Linked DNA regions of Caenorhabditis elegans. The gene in region 2 interacts genetically with the main gene of each other region. Each region holds a gene or a part of one and is shown on either strand. Other genes may lie near its edges.

Region 1 (6,715 bases), on a different chromosome or scaffold from region 2:
GAATAAATTGAAATTTACCGAATTTGGATGAACAAATCCAAAGCACACTCGAAAAAGTCGGTAACAGCAAAATTGATAATCAAAGTTGCATACGAACGAATTGTCTTCGGTGATTTATAGATAGCCATGTAAATGAGCATTAAATTGAATGAGCATCCAAGTAAAGCCCATATACAGTGCCATATTTCAAAGAACGCGTGCATTATTGAATTGGCAAATGGTGCAAGACTGAAATTTTTAGAATTTTGTCGTATAACAAGCGAACATAAAATAATTAATGAATGAATTATCGCTTCCGCTCAAATGGTTTCAGTCTTCTTTCAAGAAGTCTATCCGAAGATCCTTTGTTATTGTGCATAGGGAAATTAAATGACACGTGGTTTCTCAATAATGTGCATTTTTTTACTTCCGAATCAAAATCTTTAGCAGTGATTCATCGACTCCAATGTCTTTTTTCAAAACAAGTCGTTCCATTGTGTTCTTCTTAATCTTCTCCAGTTTCTCTTTATCGTCATAAAGCAGCGCTTAACTCTGTTTTGTAATTTGCAAAGGTATTTATTACAGATGAGAAAAAAAAGTCGTATTTATCGATATGATGGGACGCAGTAACAAGAACGAAAGAACACATAGGGAAAAAAAAATGACAAGTGAATGAAAGCAATGGTTAAAGCAATAATAAAACCCCTAGTTTAGTGTGAAAATAATTTTCAAAAAAGATGAATAGGAAAGTCTTCGTTATTCTTTGAACGTTGGTCAAATGAATTTCAGCGTTTCCAAAAATTGTGTCGACAGTCCAGGAAAAACTCATAGTACGATTAAAAAGAATGAGGGCACTGTTGATTGAAACTAATTGAAGTAAAATCATAATTTAGTACTTGGAAGACTATTGGAAAGAGTTCAATTGGGCGAGACAGCATATTATTTCACTTTTCAAATCGGTTCAAACCGTTTTGTCTCTTTTTGAACTCGTCCACGAGTAGATATTGCTCTAACTTTGACCTCCACAGTATGAGGTGATGGAACTGATTGTGTCGACAACGCTCGTGCTTTTGTGATAGCCGACTTGGTTGCAGGAAACTCTATCGCTTTTCCGGTTTCTTGAATTGTTTGCAATGATGGCGTAGCTCGTTTCACAGGTGGCGCTTCACTTTCCACATCATCTCGACGGCTCTGTGAATATAATCGAATATAATCGATATTAATACTAATATGATTATCGTACCTTTGATTTTTGTGCCCGTGGTGTTGAAGATGAAGCTGCGCGCGATCGCGATGAAACAGGGCTCAAGAGTTCTTGCGGTTTTTCGTGGAAATTCAACTCTGTAGATGTACTCAATGTTGATCCGGTGTCGGCTACAGGTTGATTGGAATTCTTCTGAAAAACAAATTATGTTTAATGGCTATGTACCTGAATTGAAAATTCGATTTAGACCAAGTTAACTCTAGCAACCAAGGGTGCCATCAAAAATCGAATAATTAAAATTTTCTATTTCCGAAAAAACTCGAAAAAAATGTTTTAAAAATTAACCATAAAGTTCTTTTTTTTTAAAATCAAATTATGTTTATGTTGATGAATAAAATAAGAAAACATTTTTTTAAATTTCTCTCTAAAAAGAAGAACAATTACAAAATTTTTGAAAGATATTTTTCGTGAAAACGAACATTTTCGATTTTAGTGAAAAATCGAAAAACCGACATCATTGCTGGCAGCAATTGATCGATTTAATCTCCAAAAAATACCTTTAAATTTTTCTTATTCTGGGAAATTGGCCATGATGCTTGTTGGACGAAGGAAGTGCTCGACGCGGAGCTTGTGGATGGTTTCGAAGGAGAAATTTCTGATTTCTTAGATGCGGTTCCGTTCTTTCCGGCCTGAAAATAAGAAATAAAATCAAAATGTTGAAACTTAGAAAAAAAGTTGGTACCTCCTGGCTCTTTCTATTCTGATTTTTTACAGATTTCTTCTTGGACGATTTGTTCTTTTTAGCAGCTTTCTCGGAACTATCAGCCACTTCCGGTTTCTCGCGTTTCGCTTTTCCCATTGTACCCATACAGTTTTCAGCTCCACATTCACAGTCTGGTAAGTTCTCCTCATTGTTCATATTGTAACTGAACGTGATCTCGTCGCCGTCGTCAATAGTGCGAATTGCCCGAATATAACTGCGAGTATCATATAAACTGCCTTCTTTGGTTTTCTTAACGAACACTTTTGTAACGAAAGATGCAGCGTTGGGATCGCAAGAATGATTGATGTATCTGGAGATGTTACCGTATCTGGCAGCGTCCACGGTTAATCCTTTGTGCAATTCCATCATATAATGGTTCGCCTTGAAAAAAAAGAGTATTTGGAAAGTTATACGTTGATAACTTAACTCTGATATTTTGCTTCTTAGACCTAAATAGCCCAAATCTACCAAATTTCGTATTTTTTTCTGAAAATGACAATTGGCAAAATATAAAATTTTAGCTGGAAATAGGCATTTTCCCAAAACTTTGAATCGCCGTAACTTTTTTTTGAGAAAATTTCAGAACGTTTTGTTCTAAAATTCGGTTAAAAGAAAAAGTAAAAATTCGTGTTTTTATCGCAAAAAAACTTTTTCCTTACCTGGAAATCTCGCGAAATTGAAACCGAATCCAAGCGCCTCTTCTTTTCAGCTTTATCGATTATTTCTCCAACGTACTCGCATATGTATTCGTCTTTTTCGATTTGACCTTTCGCAAAGACACCGTATCCTTTACACAAAGTGGCTGCCAGTTTGATTTTCTCGCTAACTATTCCCATGGAAACTTGACGATTATGACAAACGCCCTTTTTCGAACAACTCGGGGGACATTCATAATCATCGGCGAGATATTGACACGACAGCTTTGTACAGCGGTCAGCTCCTTCACAATTGCAAACTTCGTTGTTGTGATACTCTTCCAGTTTTGGTTCGCATTTGTAGTACACAGATGTCTGGAATTATGAAGAAATTGCTATAAATAAATCTGAATCGGTTAAAAGTAAGAAAATAATTGTTAAGTTTTTCGGCAATTTTTAGCTGAATTTTTCTGCAGCACTGTTTGCACTTTTGTCCCAAAATGGTCTAAAACTACCAAATTTCGTAATGAGACATTCTCATTTTCCTCCAAAAAGAAGTTAGACGGTTCAAAATTTTGGAAAAAAATGACATTTTTTCAGCTAAAATCTCAAATATTGCAGATCTGACAAATTTCAGAACTTTTTTGTTTTTTTAATTTTTTAAAAGTAATGTTCCGTTGGTTGAGATATTAACTTTCGTCGGTTCCGCAATTTTAGCTGAATAAAAGCCTTTTTCCAAACCGTTGAAAAATACAAAACCATAGTCCGAATTAGATATTTCCTGAAGAATCAGTAGAATACTCACTCTCAGTCTTCCAAATACAGTTTTACACACGTACGGGCATCTCTTCAACGCAGTATCTGCTTGTTCCTCATATTTCTCTTCCCACAAGTTTCTAAGCGTCGAATTCTTTGCCAACGAAAAGTAATTCTTGGTAAGACGGGCGATATCCGAGACCGGCACAATTGACATGAGAGGTTGTTTCTCTTTATCATTTTCTTGGGGTATCAGCCACTGGACAACAGTATATCCAAGACGTTCAAAGTTGATATTACCACGATTTCCAGTAGGGTACTTGTACCAATCGAGTGTTAATGCTAGCCAGAATCTGAATAGAAAATACATGAATTTGATAATTCTGATATTATAAACGCACGAATTGTCCGTCCACTTCGCGAGAATCAATGTATTTTGCGGAATCGGATCTCCACAAACACACGATTCGCATTGATCGTCTGGTATCGGTTTTCCATTCAGCGTTTCCACTTCTCGACATCCAGAATGAAACGATCGGCAACAAGTCTTGCACATGATTGTTTTTGAATTCGAAGATTTCTCACATCCAATTACGCAACACGCTTTGATATGGGATTTCATTGTAACATCCGCTTTCGGAACAACAGTGACGGCGTTTTTTCTTTTTTTATGTTTATTGTAGAATTGAACATCAGCACCAGGTAGATAGTGTGCTGGACAAATTATCATTTCGAACTTCTCCACTTTCCCACCAATTGTTATCGAAACATTCAAATCTCGGCCACCTGATGGATAACACGACGTCAAATGGAAAGCGCGGAGACAGAGAGCACATTCTGCAATATCTCCAACATAAGCCGATTGCTTGTGATGGTCCAAATTGCAACTATTGCAGCAATGAAGAGGGCACAGAAGTCTTGCTTGGCATTCGAGTCGGGCTGCATATTGAAAGTGAAAGCCGCCACTGTTGTAATTCTAAAAGTTTACACGATATTTGATGAAGAAAAATAATCGAATAGCTTACGATCATACAACTCGCGTGAAATTTACTACGACAAGGAAACATTGGTATATTTCCCAAGAGACGCTTGCCGTCGTCCATTTCTCCATTGATGTATCCATGACATGTGATCAAATCAGATTTTCCGGTTTTATCCTTCTCTTCGTGGCAAATCACGCATTTTGAGTCAGCATCTGGAAGAAACTCTCCTTCCGCGTCGGCTTCAATCGGGGTGAATGGCGAAACACTCAGAAACTTTCGTGGCACGTGGGTGAAGGTAGCTGGAAAATTGAAAATTTAATGGACTGCCTGGAATTAATTAATGAAAATACTTTTTGGATAATCTGTGTCAACGAACTCCTCATATTCACTAAGAAATGCCTTCGTTTCCTGTATTTGCATCGAAATAATGTCTTTGGGAGCATTCGTTAGAATCGGTGCTTCTTCTTGCTTGTCTTCTGCATTGGATGAGGTTTCGGAACCCGCGCCTTGTGGAGTAGCATTCCGTTGTTTAACGTTCTTCTTTTTAAAAGGTTTATTTGGTCCTTCTTTCTCAACGATACCGTCCTGTGGAGCACAGTTCTCTTTGCTGGAGTCACCTGGAATTCGATGCATTTTTCGACCTGATTTTCGATTATTTAAACTCACCAGAGCTCGGCAGCATAATTTGGCACCAAGCGCGAGAAGTAAGCAACTCTGAAAATGAAATTAGAATATGAATCGACTTTTTGACAAGTATTAATAAAAGAAAAACAGAAAATGAGACGTTATTCAAGCTGATCGAGGACACATTCGAAAGTCGCGCCTTACAACGATACTCCAAAATGACGGAAGCGCGAATTGTTTAGTTTTTGAGAAATATATGCATTTTTAAAGGAAAACAGCGGAAAACTATCAAAACGGTGATTAATGGAGATTCTTAAGAAAAAAATTTATAATTGTGCGTCCATAGGCTGCGGAAAACGGGAATTTCCCGCGGTCCGAGGCGTCTACAGTGAGAGGGGAAAACGAGGGAGTTTTTCGCTTCGCAATTGGTCAGTTTCAAAAAATTGGGCGTTTCCAACGAATCAGAGGCTGCAAAATTTCAAGCTGAGCAATGAAAAAGCGAAAAACTGCAGGCCCCACCTACTTTTGAATTTTGATAGAAAAAAGGCGAAGAAACTGCACTATGGACGCCTCAGACCGCGAGAAATTTGAATTTCCGTTTTCCGCAAACTATGAACATTCCTTTTAAAAAATATGCCAAGAAGGTTCGAAATCACGGGAAATGCAAAGAAAATCGCTTGCAAAATCCCAAAAAATTGCTGCAAATTTGATTATGTAAATAAGGAGACCCGAAGAACTCGGGGGATGTCCAATTGGGGGGATTACCAACTCGGGGGATTGGCCCCGCCCACAGAACCGTGGCATGCAATACGCCCATTTCTGCAACTGCCGCACGGTTTTAAAACTGTATTTTTCTCAATAGAACGAGAAATAACAAGAAAAAATAATTTTAAAACCGTGCGGCAGTTGCAGAAATGGGCGTATTGCAAGCCACGGTTCTGTGGGCGGGGCCAATCCCCCGAGTTGGTAATCCCCCCAATTGGACATCCCCCGAGTTCTTCGGGTCTCCTATATTCACATCATTCTCGCCATACCTGTGCGGCATTCGGCATTCGGCATATGCCGATGCCGGCATAATGCCGGTTTTTGGAGCACGGCATATGCCGTTATGCCGATTTGAAAATTCACGGCATATGCCGAAAATGCCGTTATGCCGAAAAATAAAATGACCGGCATAACGGCATAATGCCGACATTATGACGGCATTATGTCGTTTTTTTCTGCATTTTTGGCTTTGTTGTTTTTTGTCAAAAACCATATTTTCATAATTTTCGTGTATCCGACGAAACATAAAGATCATGCAAATAGTAAAGTTTCTACGCAGATTGTTCCATTTTTGAGATTTCTTGAAGCTTTTTGCTCGAGCATTTGGAAAATTTCTGCAACAATTTTGGCTTGACTCGAAAATTGTCTGAAAATGCACCAATATGTTTCAAGGCGTGTACATTAAAGGGGGAGTACAGTTTGTGGGTATTTTGCTTAAATAGACTAAAACTGGTCCAAAACCACCGAATTTCATAATGAGACTTCACAAAAAATTTCCAAACATTTTTATGGCCGGTCAAATTTTCGAAAAAAAAAGAGCCAAACTTTGCTAAAATCTAAAATTTCGCACACTTTTCTTTGTCACAGCTGCTGAATTTCTGTTTTTCTGAAATTATCACCCTTTAATCCTTATTTTAGTAATTTATCTCGCGGAAATTCGTTGATTAAGACAACTTTTGGGCCGATAGGCATCCAAAAATGATCAAAATTGGATGCCTAGCGGCCC
Region 2 (4,610 bases):
TTTAGACCGTTGTGACAGGCTTCTCGTCATTTTTTGAGCCGGAATTTCCTCCGAAATTGGTGGTGTTGGCGCTTTTTGGAGCTGAAAATAGTGAAAAATCCGGGTTTTTAGGGGGTAAAAATTGGGAAAATCGGGGGTTTTTAAGCTTTAAAAAAAGTGGAAAACCACGATTTTTCAACTGAAAATGGTGAAAAAACCCGACTTTTGGGGTCAAAAACACCTAATTTTCATGATTTTTTCACTCAAAAACCCTGAAAATTCGCATTTTCCTGCAAAAACTCAACCTTTTCCTCACAAATGAACAAATCGTCGTAGCTGCTCTCGATATTCTCCTGGTTTTTCAATTTTCGGACCATCTGAAACGAAAATTCGTTGAATGTTTTGGTATTTTTCTGCGAAAAAATGCAAAAATTTGAGATTTTAGCTAGAAAATTGGGTTTTTGAGCTAAAAATTGCAAAAATTTTGGATTTTTAACTGAAAAATCGGGATTTTGAGATTAAAACTGGGTTTTCAAGGTAAAAATTGCAAAAAATTGATATTTTTGCAAGAAAATCGCAATTTTTTTTGACTAAAATTAAGTTTTTCGGCGAAAAAATGCAAAAATTTGGGATTTTTAGCTGGAAAATCGGGATTTTGAGATTAAAATTGAGTTTTTCTGCGAAAAATGCGAAAAATAGCTTCAAAATCAAAATTTTCAGGGCTTCCAACAGATTTTTACCCTGAAAATGGAGAATTTTAACCCAAAAATTCATAATTTTTTAGGTTTTCCTATGAAAAAGTTTATTTTTAGGTCAAAATTCCGGTTTTTCAGTGTAAAAACCAACGAAAATCAAGAAATTTTAGATGTAAAAGTCAACATTTTTCTGAATTTTCGGCAAGATTTTCAAGGAAAAATCGGATTTTTGACCGAAAATGCATAATTTATAAGTTGAAAAATGTATTTTTGTGGTTTTTTTGGCTGAAAAATATCAAGTTTTCCACGGGAAAATGTGATTTTTAAGTCAAAATCTCGGCCTTTAAGGCTAAAAACTTTCGAAAATTGAATTTTAAGCCAAAACTATGCTTTTTATGGCTGAAAATGCAATTTTTAGTCACAAAATTCAAAATTTTGAGGAAAAAATCGGGTTTTTAAGCGTATTTTTGTAGTTTTTGCCGTGAAAAATCGTTTTTTCGGACTAAAATTAGAGTTTTTTGGCTGACAAATGCGATTTTAAGGTAAAAATCCACGGTTTTCCGGGGTAAAAACTGTCGAAAAATCCGAATTTCGCATCAAAATCCGTCGTACATTATCAAGTGTAATGCTGGGAATCATCGCTGCAAATGGTCCAACGTCGAGTTTACAGATTACACAGGCTCTCGTATCACGTGTATGTCGTTCGATGCACGGCTCACAGTACGAGTGCCCACATGTTACCATTACGGGCTGAAAATTTGGAAAAATTGGCTGAAAATTGTAAAAATTAGGGTAGAAATGGGGTTTTTCGGCTGAAAATCGAAAAAATCGGCGGAAAACTGGGATTTTTGACATAAAAATTGGAAAAATCCGGGAAAATTGATGGTTTTTGGGCTAAAAATCGGAAAACTCCGCTGAAAAACTGGGGTTTCTTGAGCTAAAAATCTGGGAAAATGGGTGATTTTTGAGATGAAAAACGTAAAAAAACGGGAGAAAACTGTGTAGTTTTTGGGCTAAAAATTGTAAAAATCCTGAGAAACCGAGATTTTTGGGTTAAAAATCGGGAAAATCCTGGGAAAAATCGGTGATTTTTGAGCTAAAAATTGTGTAAAAATCGGCAGAAATCGGTGTGATTTTTGGGTTAAAATTGTAAAAATCCGGAAAAATTTGGATTTTTCGGCTGAAAATTGAAAAAAATCTTAAAATATTGAAGTTTTTTGAGCAAAAAATTGGAAAAATCTGGAAAAATGGGAGGTTTTTGAGCTGAAAATCGAAAAAAATCGGTTATTTTTGAGCTAAAATCAGAAAAATCCGAAAAAAATCGGTTATTTTTGAGCTAAAATCAGAAAAATCCGAAAAAATTGGGGTTTTTTGGGCTAAAAATTGTAAAAGTCCGGAAAAATTGTGGGTTTCGAGCTAAAAATCGTTAAAATATGGGAAAAACTGGAGTTTTTTGGCTAAAAACCGAAAAAATCCGGCAAAATTGGGGTTTTTAGGGCTAAAAATCGGAAAAATCCAAAATTTTAAGCTAAAATCTGTAAAAATCCGAGAAAAACTGGGGTTTCTGAGCTGAAAATCGAAAAAAATCTGAAAAATTGTGGTTTTTAAGCTAAAAACTGTAAAAATCCGAGAAAAACTGGGGTTTTTGTGCTGAAAATCTTAAAAATCCAAAGTTTTTAGTCTAAAAATCGTAAAAATCGGCAAAAAACTGTAAAAATCCGAGAAAATCTGTGATTATTATGCTAAAAATCGGAAAAAATGCGGTTTTCTAGCTAAAAATCCCCAAAAAATCGTGATTTTTGGCTGAAAATCTGGAAAAATGGGCAAAAACAAGACAATTTTCGGAATTTCAAGTTTTTATGAGAAAATTTCGCATTTTTCCCCGATTTTTCACATTTATAGCTGGAAAAAGACGAAAATTGCACATTTTTGGGTCAAAAATGGGTAAAATTAAGCGATTTTTAATGGAAAATCCGCCATTTTTCACGCAATTTTTCTTGAAATCCTCGGTATTTCCATGTTCTAACCCTGTCGAAAAGCTGATCACACAGTGGACAGAGGAGTTCCGAGCTCAAATCGCGTCGAACCGGCTGTTGAACGTCGTTGATGCACTGAAAATTGTGTTTTTAGGCGGTTTCCAGGGCGAAAAACACGATTTTCTGCTTATTTTCCAGCAAAAAATGCGTTTTTTCGATTTTTTTCGCCGCTAAAAATCCGATTTTACCGCTGTAGAAGTAGTTGCGTTGGACTCCAGCAGACGTGGCGATGAGTTGGCAATCGATAAATCGCTCTGCGAAGCCCGTATTTGAGCGGATGAAGTGTCTAAATCCGTCATTTTTGGGCTGAAAATGAGGATTTTGAGCCTGAAAAATCATTGAAAAACGCTGAAAAATAAGTATAAAATGCATGAAAAGTACAGAAAACTGGGAAAAACAACGGGGTTAAGGAATACAGAACTTTATATGTACAGAAATAATGAAAATTGTTAGAAAATTTCCTCGGCGACCTTCTTCAGCTCATCCTGAAACTCTTTTTGAAGAGAAAACGCGAATTCCTTGACTTTATACTGCTCCTGGAGGTCTTCGAGTTCTAGGAAATGGGAAAATTATTGTGAAAATTCACTAAATTTCTCACGTTTTTCCACCAATTTTCGCTTCTCGAGCGTCTCCTCCAGCTTCCGATCGGCCTCGTCCATTTCCTTGTTAATTATCTGCAGTTTGGAGGCGCAAACTTCTTGGAGATCCGAAAAATCTTGGGTTTTCGGCAGTTTTTCGACTTTTACCGCGAGAACTTCGTTGATCATGTCGTCGATTGATTTTTGCATTTTTTTTGATTGCTGAAAACTGATAAAAATTTGGAAAAATTATAAAAAACAAAAAAAATAAAAATAAAAAACACGAAAAACGTTTAAAAATTAAAAAAACAAAAAAACAAATTTCAAACAAATCCATTTTCGCGCCATCGGGTCTCACCACGACAGGCACTTGGCATCGTGCCAAGTGCAAGTGCGCTCCATCGCTCTCTTTTCCGAAAGAGCGTCTCGTGCAACGACATCTGACATTTTCGAAGGGAAATTTATTGATTTTTCGGCAAATTTTTGGGTTTTAAGGTGAAAAATCTATTTAAAAGTGTTAAAAAATTAACTTAAAATGGGGAAAATACCCTGAAAAATCGAGTTTTTTATCTTTTATCCTTAAAAACGTAAATTTCCCAACAAAAAAAAAATTATCCTGCATTTTCCCTTCGTTTTTACGAATTCCAGATGTCCGACGACAGTTCAAGCCCCCTCACAACTCTCAAAATCCTGATTATCGGCGAAAGTGGCGTAGGGAAGTCGAGGTGAGGGGTTTTCTCGCCCAAAAAAAATTTAAAAAAATCAATTTAAATTCAAAAATTTTCAGCTTAATGCTACGATTCGTGGACGATGTCTTCGATCCTGAGCAGGCTGCAACGATAGGTTCGTGGAAATTCCAGGGATTTTTGGATTTTTTGATTTTTAGGCCAAAAAAACCCTAAATTTATTGTTTTTTAGGCGTGGATTTCCGCGTAACTTCAATGGCAATCGACGGAAATCGTGTAAAACTCGCAATTTGGGACACCGCCGGCCAGGAGAGGTTCCGTACCCTCACGCCGAGCTATTATCGTGGAGCACAGGGCGTAATTTGCGTGTATGACGTCACTAGCCGCAGCTCCTTCGAGAAATTGAATCATTGGATGCAAGAAGTCGATACTTATTGCACAAATGACAATATTATCAAGATGATGGTCGCGAACAAGATTGATATGGTGCGAAAAAGCCGATTTTGTTCGATTTTTGGCCTAAAAAATAATTTTCAGCCAAATCGAGTGGTAACCCGCGAGGAAGGCCTAAAATTCGCAAAACGCCACCGCACACTATTCATTGAAGCTTCTGCGAAGACTAAGGAGGGTGTACAG
Region 3 (8,035 bases), on a different chromosome or scaffold from region 2:
GTTTTGCTAGAATTTCGTTCAGTAATCATTTTCTAGTGTTAATTTATTCTGTGAATCCATTTGGCAAGTTTTTAAAATATGTCTTCAAAAGAGTACGGTAGTTTTTTATTTAATTCGCAGTGTTTTTTTATTTTTATTTTTAATAGTAGATGAGAAGAAACATCAAAAATTGTGCTTCCAAGAGTCGACAGTCAAAATTCGTTAATCTAATTTGAATTTCGCGCGAAAATGTTTCAAATGATTCTCGGCCGTGTACTCCTCTCGGACAATTAATAAATTGTTTAATTTTGGATGTTTGTAGAGGTTTTTCGTGTTTTCTCATGATTTTACGGGAATCCTTTTGATTTTTTTGGTTAAAAACAAATTATTGGTGGTCTATGAATGCATTTTTCACTGTAAAATAGTGGAAACCGCCGTTATCCTCTTGAGAAAGTTCTAAAGTTCCATAAATTGTTCAGTTTCGCGGTTTTTCATTGAATAATTTGTAATTATTGTTTTTCGAACGTACAATTATCAAAAGAAAATCACGAAAAATCGCCAAATATTCCAAAATTCGATCGAATGGAGGTTTATTCTTCATTCCCTTCAAAATAGATTTATAATAATCTCTTGTTCGAACACTCCCTCTTCCCGCAGCGAAAGTGTAATAAAATGTCCAATAATCTAGCTAGATCTAGTTCAATAACTCATCAATTATATTGCCCTTTGATGTAGTTTTATAATGTCATAAAGTGCACACTTCTAAGAGTGGGCAGCTAAAAAATGCACTTGTTGCTCTTTTTTTCGCACCCTTCATACTTTTTTGGATCGATTTCTTTCATTTGATATTCATAATGACCTAATGTTTCCGCTGTACACTGTATCTGCACTCACGTGATGGGTCTCGCCACGGTAATAATATTACAAAATGATTTTGCCTATGCGTCTTTGAGTTTACTGTAGAAAATTAGTAATACATTTTTCAGCTCTACTTCTTTCTTCGCAGATTATTTTTCTGTGAGAACAAGAATACACAATTTATCCATTTCCATTCAATGAAAATGTATGACAGCGTGATTTCGATAAATCAACAATTGAATCCTTTTTCTTTAAACTTATAACTTCAATTGACATATTTTTAATTTCATTGTAAAACTTGGAATATAATTTCGTTGGTTTCAGTCTCTCATCCGTTCCAAATTATAATTCCAAACTCTCGAACGCGGAGACATGCGCACGCTCCTCTTCCTTTCCCTCGAGTAGGCGTCGCTCCTTCTCTTTTATTGATTTGTCGTGCTCTCCGCTCTTGTTTGAACGCGACCAATATGACTCATTTTTTTAATATTTAAAGTTTTTAAGCACATGCATAGTGCATTGCTCGCTTTCTACCTCTACGCGTTGTTCATGGCTCTAAAAACAAAGAGCGTACATTTTTTGAAATTCTATTTAAATAAATAAAATTATTATTGAGAATTCATCCGAAATATCTGTGAAATATCAAGCCAAACATATTTTTTATAATCCTAAAGTTAATAAAATTAAAATAAAGTATAGTCATTTTGTAAATTTGCTCAAAATGACAGAAAATGGACCGTAATAACCAAATATAGATGTTAAACATGCATAGAACTTTTCTAAATTTTTTTTTTAATTTTGCAAAAAGGTTCTTACGGTACATTTTTAATCAACCATTAAGTTTTACAAATCTTCATAGGTATAATTTTTTAATGAACAAATTGTTTGACTGGCAATAACCACGCATTCCTTCATTCGATTCCTTATCGAACCAGCCGTCTGTCTGAATATGATGTGAATTTCTTTTTTATTCTGCGTCTCCTCAATTGACATACTCTCTACTCAGTTTCCCAGAACGAAGTCTCTCTCATCTGACATTATATCTTTTTTGCGCTGTTCGTTTCACATTTTTCTTTCTCTCTCTCTCTCTGATTGGCGATTTCGAGATAAATCGATAATCTCGATCTTTGCTAAACTATTTTAAAACACAAAAAATCATTGCAGGGTATGACTCCGGCGACGGCAGAGGTGAAAGTTGGAGGGAGAAAACGGAAGAATGGTTAGTTGGAGAATAGGACATTTACTGGAATTTACAAAAATCAAATTCTTAAAATCAATTTTTAATTAATTTTGAAACATAAATCCCAATCGCGCCGAGACCCGCGTATTCTAACACAACGCTCACCTTTAAAAATAGTTAATTTTTTATTCGAGAAACTCGGCCTGAAACTTTTTATTTAACTTCTTGTTTAAATTGTAATTTAAACTATTATAATTAAAGTTTTTCCTGTTTTCTTAATTTTTCCACCAGTGAAAATTATTTTCGGCAATTCTACAAAATTACCTATTGTGCCATTTTGTTCCATCATATTTTATTACAAAACAGTGTCAAAAAATAGAAAATTACTTGAATTATCTAAAAATAACATTTATTTAAGCTGAAAAAATTTGAAAAATTGTTCAAAAATGGCTTGAAATTCGATGTTTCGTTTAATCAGCAATTGGCAACTCTCAGGCCATTTTTGAACACTTTCCCAAAATTTTATGCTAAAATAAATGAAATAAATGTTATTTTCAGATCAATAAAGTAATTGTCTATAGTTTGAAATTAATTTTTTTTCTGTCAAATTATAGTAATTTTTAGCATTTTTGAATTAATACTTTAAGCTTATTTTTGCAGATGAGCCGGTTTTTATCAAGACAAAACAATCGAGGTCAGCTCGTCGAGAAGAAGAAAAAGAAAATCTTTTGAACAAATCTCTTCCGTCAACTCCAACTTCATCAGAGGCCGGAAGTTCTCGGGAATCTTCAAATCCAGTCACAAGCTCCAGTAGACGAAAGAATCCACCTACCAAATTAGAAAATATTCAAAAAACGTTGCCGACTTGCAGTGACGGACGTTAGTTTTAAAAATCATTAATTAAAATCTCAATTTTTCTATTAATTCACATTTTTTCAGTTGAAATTCGCAATTATGTGAAAAAATATGGATTGCCGGAAGATAACAAGTTTCTCGTTCGTAATGTCTTCGACAAACAATTATTATTTGGAAAGAAATATGTGTGTAGAAGGCGTGTGATTAAAAGCATCGATGAATTTTTCCCGCGACTAAAGACCGATGCGGTTTGTTTGAATTTTTGATGGATTCATTTGCAAAATAAATTTTTCTTTCAGCACAGAGAAAATGGTTTATATAATTTCTGTACTCTACAATTCATGAAAATATCCTCCTGGGGAAGTTCGATGGATGAGAAGATTTGTTAGTTTATTTTTGAAAATTTTGAAAAATTTGAAACGAAATCTCGATAAAAACACTTAATTCGAAAAAGACCAACAGAAAATCACTTTGAACTAAAAATATCTATTCAATATTGATTGAAACCATATTTCACAAGAAATAAAAGTCTTTTTGAAATTTGGTTTTAAAAAAAATTATTTTTTTAATTAAAAAAGTCAAAAAAAATTGAAAAGTTCTGATTTGCATTATAAAACAAAAAATGAATTAAACTCAATAAATATATAGCCAGAAAACGCGAAAATGTCGGAATTCGCTTTTTTTTTCAGTTTTTGCAATTTCCTAAAATCACACAAAATTTATAAAAATTATTTTTTTCCTATAGTTTAAAGCAAATTTAATGATTTTGAAATGTTTGAGGTTTTTTTTCAAAAAGTAAGAACAATATTTCCAAAAAAATGAAATTATTTTCTAATTGTAAATTAAGATTCAAAAATACACACACACATAGTTTTTTTCGGTTTTAAAATTATTTTCTCATTAATTCATTAAAAAAAAGAACATTTTCAGATGTTACTTCTGCTGCAATTGTTCAAAGCTACGTGATAATTGTCGACGATAATGATTCAGTCACCTGCATTGAAAATGGAATCTCAGTTATTCCAATGGCGAATAGAACGTTACCATCTATCTCCTATAACAGTTCAAATGTAAAAAATATCACTTTGACGGGCCCTGAACTGAAAAAGGCAAAAAACGTATATCTCGCAGTGATTGTGAAACGAAAAACACCAAAACTTGGAGAAAATCGAGTTGGGACAAGTGAGTGAAATCATTTCTTTTTTTTAAATAAAAAGTTTCTTTTGTAGGAGGAAAATCAACTCGAGCATCATTCGAAACGGCTGCTTCCTCAGAAAACTTTCAGCAACTTGTTCGTTTTGGGTGCACTTTGATGTATGATAAGGATGCTGAAATTAACTGCCTAAATGACGGAGTTCAACGTATTATCTTACTGTAAGTCGCTTTAAAATTATAAATGCAAAAATTTAAAAACTTAAAAATTCAAAAAAAATTAAAATACTTTAAAAGTTTTTTTTTCCAAAATTTATCCGAAGGTGAATCTATAAAATTAAACTGGCCTGCTAATTTTTTAAAAAGGGGGTTTTCTGAAGATTTTGAGCGAAAACTGTTGTCAAAATAAATAAAAAACTGAAAAACATTTTTTTTCGAGAAACACGCGCTCAAATTGACGGGTATACGGTAGAAAATATTTTTTCAAAAAAAATTGTATAATGAAAAATATTGCTCTTGATTTTTCCAGTGATCGAGAAGAAAAGCCAGCGTATTTGAAAATTTTCGGGAAGGCCGATGAACCGGAACTCGAGAATGCTTGGATGAATAATGTTAAGCATTTGGAGTTTATAAGCGATACAAATTATAACAAAGAGGTAACGATGAAGAGTTAATAAACTTTTATAAATAATTGATTTTTTTCTACAGGATTCTCATCTCGCTCGTCTAATCTTCTCTTCAAATACTCATAATTATTTCGATAGACCGGACATTTCAAAATTCTCTCCATGGCAGCCGCGATCCAGAAGGACGACACTAAAATCTGGGTGAGAAATTCGATTTTTTCTCTTTTTTTAATTTTGTTTTTATCTGGTTTTTGCACGACCGTAATCCCGCACGCTTATTGTGTTTTCCATCATTTTCAGAATCTCCGTCGAGCCAGGAACGAGTTGCGATGAGGATTGTGGATCGCAATATGAAGAGTTCGTTTTTGATCCCTACCACCTGATTTTTTGTTTGAATATCTAATTTTTAAATCACTAAGTTTGCTGGATTTTTTCCCTTACAGAATTTCTAATTTCGGGTGCATTTCTTCTTTTTTCTTAGTTGGCTGTAATTGATACCTTCCAAATAGCTTGTCGTGATTTTTGAAAACCGTGAAGCTGCATTTCAGAATTTTTGAGTTAAAACTGGGGGGTTTTGTCCAAAATTACAGAAGGCAATCTGCATACACCGGATAGAACTTCAAAAAAAATCATCTAAATTTTATAGTTAATCACTCACTACATTGGATATTCGCGGAACTTCATGTTTCTATCCAACCATAGATCATCTAACTGTTCTTCAAAATTGTTTAGAAAATATAATTACAGTACAATCACTCTCAAGCAGTTACTCCTTGGAACGAAAAAGCTATGCGGAAGACGTAAGAGACATTTGACCCGACTCACTTCAAGATGGCCGTGTTTTTCAGTCGATCCGACGAAGGTAATTCTTAAAAAACTATAATTTCAAAGCTTAAGTGCAATTATTTCAGATCAATTCATATTTCAATGAAACTGGTGTCACTTTGCTGGAAAATTCGTGTTCCTACCGTCCTGGAACTCAACGAAGCATTCCAATAAAACCTACCCGAGTGATCAGAGTTAGAGAAGAAACTCCAGTTTCCGTTCCAATTGAGGTTATTACGATTGAAGATGATTCAGATGATTCACCATGTTTTTCTGCGAGAAATCGAGCACCAGGTGGAACACGGAAATATGGATTAGATTTTATACAATCTTCGGGTCATATGCCATATATTCGTTATGTTTATATGAACAGGTAATTTGATTTAATGCAATCCAGTAAAAAAATATATGATTTGCAGAGCAAATGACTTAGTGCCCCAGCTGAATGGCGAAGAAAATGGAAAAATCGAAGGTCTTATGGAAGCATATCCGATGAATAATGCTCACATGTATTCAGATATTGAGTTCCTGAGAAAAGAAAAAGTAAGAATTGTTTTTAAAAAAAAGACATAAAAGTTGTAATAATTTTCGCTTTTTTCACTAAAATCGAAAATGGAATTTTTTGTTTCGATTTACTGATTTTTGCAAAAATAAAACAAAACTTTAAGATTTTTCTTTTTTCCGATATTTCGAAAAAATTGCATAATTTGTTTTCTTTTTAGAAGCAATTTGTATGTATTTCTGAAAAAGCGAACAAAATTGTTTCCTGAAGGCGAAATCTATTTTTCCCTCAAAAACCCAAAAAAAAAAAAAAAAGTGAGAAAGGAAAAATTGAGAACCTTTCATTATATTTTTTGAATTTTTTGAATTGACTCCAAAAACAGGAAAAAAAAAACAAAAAATCCCAGCCTTGATTACGATATTAAAAATTTTCTATTGTGACATGTTGCTCCAACAATTTGTATTTAAAATTAATGTCAAAATATAGAAAAACACTCGAATTATCTGGAAATAACATTTATTCTGGCTGAAAATTTTGAAAAAGTACTCAAAAAATGTCCTGGAAGTTGCTGATTGCCAATTATCGAATTATTGAATTTCAGGTAATTTTGAACACTTTCTCGAATGTTTTAGTTGAAAAAAAGTTATTTTCAGATAATTCTAGTGATTCCTGCACTGAACACTAAAAAAAACTTGTCGCCGCAAACAAAAAAAATTAAAGCAAAATTACAAATTTCAGTTGAATCTTCCGAAGAATGCTCAAAAATATGGCGAAATGACAATTCTTGACTATCCACTAACGAAGACGGAAACGGACGAATATAATAAAAAGATGTCTGTGATGAATGTCAAAGATTTTGCGGTTAAACCCAGAAAACCTATTCCAACAGTCGGAAATACCACTTTAAGTTTGGATTTGGAAGGATGTCCTATATCGACATTTTCAGAAATATTCTTCCCAAGTGGAAAAACTGAACTATTCAATATTCTATGCAGACAGTAAGTGTTATAATATTAAGTCATATATTAAAACCCAATTTTTGAAGTTTCTACTCTGAAGCTGGACAACGCCCTGGATGCTTCTCAGCACAATGGAAATCTAGAGTTTTGGTGAGTTTATTGAACATTCAGGACTAGATTGGCAAACGTACGGAATTGCTTAGTACAGTATTTTTGAATCAAAACCTTTAAACTTCTTTTCAACGAAAATGAAAATTATTTTCAGAGTCTTTGATTCTACAAAAAATGAATTAGCGTACTAAAATAAGCATCTCAACACTTTTGCCAAGATTTGCCTTAACTTAGAACGCATTTTTGAATTTTTCATAAATAATTTTCAGACTGGCTTCATCAACAAATACCATCAGTACATTTTCGACATGAAATTGAATTCTTTATTCGAGAAACAAATAAATCTCATCGCTATGGTCAGCCCTGACTGGAAATTAGAAGATTTTGAATTGCCCATGGTTCGATATAAGCAATTGAAAAAAGAATGGAAAAATCGCCAACGAGATATACCATCTTCTAATTAGATTATCCCCTTTTTTCCTTGTATCTTTTTCTTTTTGGAAATCCTGTGTTTAATCTCTTTTCCATTTATCAATCAACTATACCAAATCGTGGTGGGTGGCAATTCTACTAAATGACATTAAAAATTAGTCTGAAAACATAGAAAATAATTTGATTCTTCTGCAAATAACATTTGTTTCAGTTGAAACACTTGAAAAAATGATTAAAAATTACCTGGAAGTTGGAAATTGTCGAATTTTGCTATTCGGCAATTGGAAACTTTCAGACTATTTTTGTGCAATTTTCAAATCTTTCAGCTGAAATAAATGTTATTTTCATATTTTTAAATAAATTAATTTTCTATTTTGAGACTAATTTTTAATGAACAATATTGGCCAATTTATGGAATTGCCAAAAGTAATTTCCACCCACCGCTGATCCCAAAAATACTACAATTTTTAGCACCTTTTGACCCAAAGAACGTCGTACTTCAATGATCTTCCAGATTACACGAGTCATCACTAAGTTTTTCTTCATTTCTTTTTCTTTC
Region 4 (4,697 bases), on a different chromosome or scaffold from region 2:
AGTAGAAATCATTGTTTCCAGTTGTCATTTTGTTGGTTGGCGTGAGAAGGTGCGACTCTGAAATAATTCATTTTATTAACAAGCATCGGGAAATAGAAACGGACAAAAATAAGGAAAGAATAAAAAATATTGAAAAAAAAGAGAAGAATGGGAATGAGACAAGAGTGAGAATGGTGAGGAACACTGCATGTACAGACAAATCGATAAATGCTCATTGCTGACGCTGTCTGAATTGATCGATAACATCAACAGAGTCGAGTTTCCCGCGTGTTTCAAAATACTCGTCCTTTGACATTGGAATTTGACAGTGCTTGGTTGACCCAGCAGAGGAAGATGATCTGAAATAAAAAAGGTAATAACATGAAAGCTAATAAAATTTTCAAAACTCACTGAACATTCAAAAACGTCTTCTTTTTGTCACTTTGTAAGTTGCTGTCGACTGTCACTGAATTAGAAAAATTAGATAATCAGAAAACGAAAATAATCTCTTCGAAACTCACACATAAAGCTATGTTTAGGTGAAGAATAATCCTTAGAGGAGGTTGGGGATGACATTAGGAACTGCAAAATTGTAATGTAAAATCCACTGAAGATGATCGAAGATGAAATCACAACGAGATATAAAAAATTGAAGGTGAGAAGGAATGATATTCAAAATTTTGCCAGGTCCTTAGCGTCGACAGACGCAGATACACGATCAAATCGACAAACAAATCCTTCGTCAGTTACTAGTACTAGGAATCGGCCACATGTAGAGAAAGAAGCTTGCCGAACTGTACGTGAGCCAACGGAACAAGTGTGAGTCCTGTAAAAAAAAAAACAGGAATTTATACTGGTAATCACAGCAAAAATATTTCTATAATTTTTAAGAGATATCGAACATCTCAGAAATTATTTTTCTTGATATTTTACTTACGGATTGGTTTCTTCATTATTTCTCAAATCGAAAAACATCACAGAACCACCAGCTCCACCGCACACCAGCCATCGTCTTCTTGGATCAACGGCGAATTTGATAAACCATGCAGAACCACTCGGAACATTCATTGTACGAAATTTCGTTGTACACGACTTTGGACGGAGAACATTTCCATGAATGCGATTTTCAACTTCTCCCTTAGGTGGCCCAAATCTCCAAAAATGAATTGCCTTTTCATTGCCACATCCTTTTGATAGTGCGTAGTTAGTACCGATAAGAAATCGAATGCAATCCACATAATCAGAATGCATATCAGTTGATACGGAGGATGGAGTATAAATTGGAAGAAGGCAGCTCCTGAAAAAGAAGAAAACGATAGAACCAGATTCGTTGAAACAACTTTAAAAAAGTAATGGATGCCGAAAATCAACGTACGGTCGGGGTATGAGCTCTCTGTGAAGTTCGAGCAATTGATCTTCTTCTTTGTCGGGAATGTTGCGAGAAACTGCAGACTTTCTAAAAATACAAAAATGAATTACATTATGATTTGATAGCCCTGGTCTCTTTATTTACCAGTCTTTTATCCAAAACTCAAGTTTCAAAAATATTTTTATATACAACAACAGCAACAATTTTCGCGTTAAGGACTGATCAAATACTAGAAGGAACTAGAAAATGTTAGCTGAATAATTGATTTACCTCATTGTTCCTTTCGAAACATACGGAATATCTTGTGATTGTGTTAGCACATTTATTTTATCTTGGTGAAGAGCTTTGCACGCTCGTTCCAAATGTTCCTTTACTTGTTTCACAGATAAATCCCACTCCATGAGTTGATGATCGAATCCACACGATAAAATGAAGTCTCCGTCGGTTGACCAATCCTAAAATGAGAAATTCGAAACGTAAGTAAATTTAATAAACCAACCACAGAAAGAATTGTTCCAGCATGACACTCGAGACCCCCAATAACAATCAGACATGCTTCGTTTCGAATATGATGAATCCGGATAGATTGATCTGATGAAGCACAGACAATCAGATTTGAGTTGGCAGGACACGTACGAATGTCATTGATTTCCCATCCAACACTCCGAAGACGCTAAAACTCCAAATTATTTCAGTAATTTTTGATTATTTACATTCGACAGCTTCCTCGAGACGTAGTCGATAACGTAAATGTGACCCAAAGTTCCACCCGTTACAACTTTAAAGGGATTTCGGTCGTTTTCAGCTTCATATGTGTCGTAACACCAGGTAACAGTGAAGAGCGACTCCTCTCGTTCGACCTTTGATGATTTATCGGTAGGAAAATTACAAGACCACTGCAGCTCAATGTTATTTATGTCGATGGGAACAGAATACATGTGAAGCTGAAAAACAAATATTTATACCTCATTGTCAGTTTCCTGCTAAATAACGCTTACAAAGCTTCCTCCGACAGTTGCAACCGCTTGTTCCTCATCTATTCCTGCGTATTGATTGAATGCACATCCGTAAATAGCTTTCTTCTGATCTTCAAGTAGCTTGGCAGTTAGTACAAAAGGTCGTTTTCCGTAATCCTCTGTACTTCGATCAAACCCGTGAAGATTTAATGATTTGAACTTTTTCGTGTGCTCCATTCAGGTTTTTGGGAAAAAGGCAAGAAACAATATATAACAAAATAAAAACTTCACAGTAAAAACATAAAAAAGTCGATTAACTATCAAATTTGCAGTGAAAAAGGAAAAAAATGACAATAAAAACAACAGAAAAACTAAAATATGGCCGCTCGCGCGCATTTCTCGTTCAAATTGCATTAGTGGTGAAAAGCGCGGCGAGACCCAACGAGCGCATAACCTCATGCACCTTTAAAGTGTTATTTTTTTATTACAATTTTTTGTTCTCATTTTGGATTCTGTTCGAAAGTTCCGGGAGGTATTTGTGATTTCGATTGGGAATATGATAGAAAAGACAGTTGCCAGCTTAAATTTTGTATTGTCGTGAAGTACCACTTCCAATTTCGGAGTGGATTCGAACGGGATTAAGTAGATTTTGTACTCGGCTTTTTTCGCAAGGAGCGAAACTAATAATTTTGTATATTTTTTTTGTATGATCCTATATTGCTACGTGAGCTATTGTCAGTTAAAAAAAATGTTTTTGTGGTCTTTTTCAGATTTCAGAGCGATCAACTTGGGGGTATTCATTCATATTTATTATTTAGTAAAATTGTCCTTATATCAAAAGATCCACTTTGTGAATTCCGTAGACTTCTTTCATTTTTGCTATTTCGAATTTGTCTTCGTCGGCTGCTGACTCATCCATATCCCTGCGTCTCCAATGCCTGATTCTCTGCGTCTTGTGTGATTTTTTGTTGCTTCAACCTGTTCTTCTAGCGGTTGCCTTTTTCTCATGCTGTGACTGTTCCCGTTCATTACTAATTCTTAATTTCATAATATTTTAGTGTTATCGTTTTTTCTTCAATTTTTTAGCCAAAATGTTATCTCGAACGAGCTATAGTTATTTTCAGATCGCCTGTATGAAATATGACATGAACCATCGCAAAAATTCTGATGATACTCCACCGGCGTCTAGGACCGTCAAAGAAATGATGGCAGAGTTTCAAAATAAACTGGACGACGGAGACAACAGATTCCGGAAGCAACCACCACCGCCACCTTGTGAGTCTGAAACAGAGAAGACGTCTTGTATTTACTGTCGACAATTGATTGAGGCGTAGCAAAAAACTTCGTTTGCTTTGTTATCTGTGGAGAAAATAAAAGTTACGAAATTTCTTGAAAAAAAAAACTAAAAAATAATTTTTTTAAAAACTATTTATGTCTGTATTTATTGATAATAACTAAATAGATCATATGATCATAGTATTGAAAAAGAGAGAACCGAAAATCGGGTTGACAATGATTCTGTGAGTTAAAAAAAACAGTCAATTTTTCGAAAAAAAAATCTGCCTTAAACTCCACCAACAGTGAATCGAATTAATTTTTAAAGGAAATTAAGTTCTCATTTCAATTTATATATTCGTTGTTAGAATCTAGACGAAAATTCATAAATATTTTGTTACTATCATTTTTTTTTCTATTAACTTTTACAATATCGTAGAACAACTGATTTCCGTGTTAAAATTGTTTTTTGACTGTTCTTCTTCCTATTGCTTTTTGTTAACGAAAAATGCCCAATTTTCTTCAAAGTTCCTATCAAATCTGTACAGACGCGTGACCGATTGCGAAAGTAGTCAAAAAGAAGTATAAAGGCTTTTCGCAATATTGTTTGCCTAAAGGTGCCACTTGACAGATTTTACTCCTTTGTCGCCAAGAAGTGTACTAGTAATAAATTTTAGAAAATTGGGTTGTGTCCTTATATTAATTACTTGGATTATCGCCAACATTTGATTAAAATAGTCATTCTTGTGTGAACACTTGCCAAAAATATATTCACTATTTAACTTCTGTTGGTATTATTGTTCCACCCCCCGGAAGTGACCAATTTTCCGTCTGCCACTGTGTGTGCCTAGTGGTATGACTCATTTATTGAAAGAAAAACAATTATTTTATCATCTCTCAAAATGAGTGAAGCAGATACAATTACAGCAATTAGATAGTTTAAATATACCTATGAGGTTAACAGATTGGAAGATTCATTTTTAAAACAATTTTGCAGCCCCAAGACGAGCTCCACCACCGCCTCCTCATCGGAAACCTGCATCATTATCTCCACCTCCAGACGATGAGAATACAATTCGACCGCCGTCTTCTTCAGAATCGTCCGAAAATATTCCTGA

The links.
Region 1: of par-2 (region 2) and mes-4, a change in one rescues a mutant of the other (synthetic rescue), as found in Caenorhabditis elegans (one study listed by BioGRID).
Region 3: of par-2 (region 2) and mes-3, a change in one rescues a mutant of the other (synthetic rescue), as found in Caenorhabditis elegans (one study listed by BioGRID).
Region 4: of par-2 (region 2) and mes-6, a change in one rescues a mutant of the other (synthetic rescue), as found in Caenorhabditis elegans (one study listed by BioGRID).

What each region holds. Positions count from the first base shown.
Region 1 is NC_003283.11:13,432,512-13,439,226, forward strand, and holds mes-4 (Histone-lysine N-methyltransferase mes-4), read right to left. Parts: upstream 5,035-6,715; 5' UTR 5,003-5,034; coding exon 4,987-5,002; intron 4,938-4,986; coding exon 4,671-4,937; intron 4,620-4,670; coding exon 4,363-4,619; intron 4,314-4,362; coding exon 3,739-4,313; intron 3,691-3,738; coding exon 3,387-3,690; intron 2,957-3,386; coding exon 2,606-2,956; intron 2,328-2,605; coding exon 1,926-2,327; intron 1,873-1,925; coding exon 1,741-1,872; intron 1,376-1,740; coding exon 1,223-1,375; intron 1,171-1,222; coding exon 931-1,170; 3' UTR 539-930; downstream 1-538. Other genes in the region: srd-17 (Serpentine Receptor, class D (Delta)), read right to left, coding at 19-203. UniProt on the Caenorhabditis elegans protein: Histone methyltransferase. Dimethylates 'Lys-36' of histone H3, a specific tag for epigenetic transcriptional activation. Plays a central role in early development and is responsible for all H3 'Lys-36' dimethylation until about the 40-cell stage.
Region 2 is NC_003281.10:1,079,808-1,084,417, reverse strand, and holds the start of par-2 (RING-type domain-containing protein), read right to left. Parts: upstream 3,024-4,610; 5' UTR 3,010-3,023; coding exon 2,899-3,009; intron 2,786-2,898; coding exon 2,702-2,785; intron 1,425-2,701; coding exon 1,287-1,424; intron 357-1,286; coding exon 285-356; intron 82-284; coding exon 1-81. Other genes in the region: kbp-4 (KNL (kinetochore null) Binding Protein), read right to left, coding at 3,160-3,263, 3,309-3,498; Ras-related protein Rab-18, read left to right, coding at 3,937-4,013, 4,076-4,131, 4,207-4,460, 4,512-4,610.
Region 3 is NC_003279.8:4,994,843-5,002,877, forward strand, and holds the start of mes-3 (Polycomb protein mes-3), read left to right. Parts: upstream 1-1,996; 5' UTR 1,997-2,001; coding exon 2,002-2,053; intron 2,054-2,674; coding exon 2,675-2,893; intron 2,894-2,953; coding exon 2,954-3,117; intron 3,118-3,168; coding exon 3,169-3,253; intron 3,254-3,799; coding exon 3,800-4,051; intron 4,052-4,098; coding exon 4,099-4,243; intron 4,244-4,550; coding exon 4,551-4,677; intron 4,678-4,729; coding exon 4,730-4,848; intron 4,849-4,947; coding exon 4,948-5,004; intron 5,005-5,394; coding exon 5,395-5,509; intron 5,510-5,558; coding exon 5,559-5,845; intron 5,846-5,891; coding exon 5,892-6,015; intron 6,016-6,712; coding exon 6,713-6,972; intron 6,973-7,019; coding exon 7,020-7,083; intron 7,084-7,313; coding exon 7,314-7,508; 3' UTR 7,509-8,035. UniProt on the Caenorhabditis elegans protein: Component of a Polycomb group (PcG) complex. PcG proteins act by forming multiprotein complexes, which are required to maintain the transcriptionally repressive state of homeotic genes throughout development.
Region 4 is NC_003282.8:8,509,281-8,513,977, reverse strand, and holds mes-6 (Polycomb protein mes-6), read right to left. Parts: upstream 2,695-4,697; 5' UTR 2,542-2,694; coding exon 2,347-2,541; intron 2,293-2,346; coding exon 2,062-2,292; intron 2,022-2,061; coding exon 1,848-2,021; intron 1,804-1,847; coding exon 1,619-1,803; intron 1,436-1,618; coding exon 1,355-1,435; intron 1,277-1,354; coding exon 917-1,276; intron 806-916; coding exon 652-805; 3' UTR 556-651; downstream 1-555. Other genes in the region: cks-1 (Cyclin-dependent kinases regulatory subunit), read right to left, coding at 1-28; C09G4.4 (uncharacterized protein), read right to left, coding at 212-338, 391-445, 501-555; FYVE, RhoGEF and PH domain-containing protein tag-77, read left to right, coding at 3,438-3,579, 4,577-4,697. UniProt on the Caenorhabditis elegans protein: Polycomb group (PcG) protein. PcG proteins act by forming multiprotein complexes, which are required to maintain the transcriptionally repressive state of homeotic genes throughout development.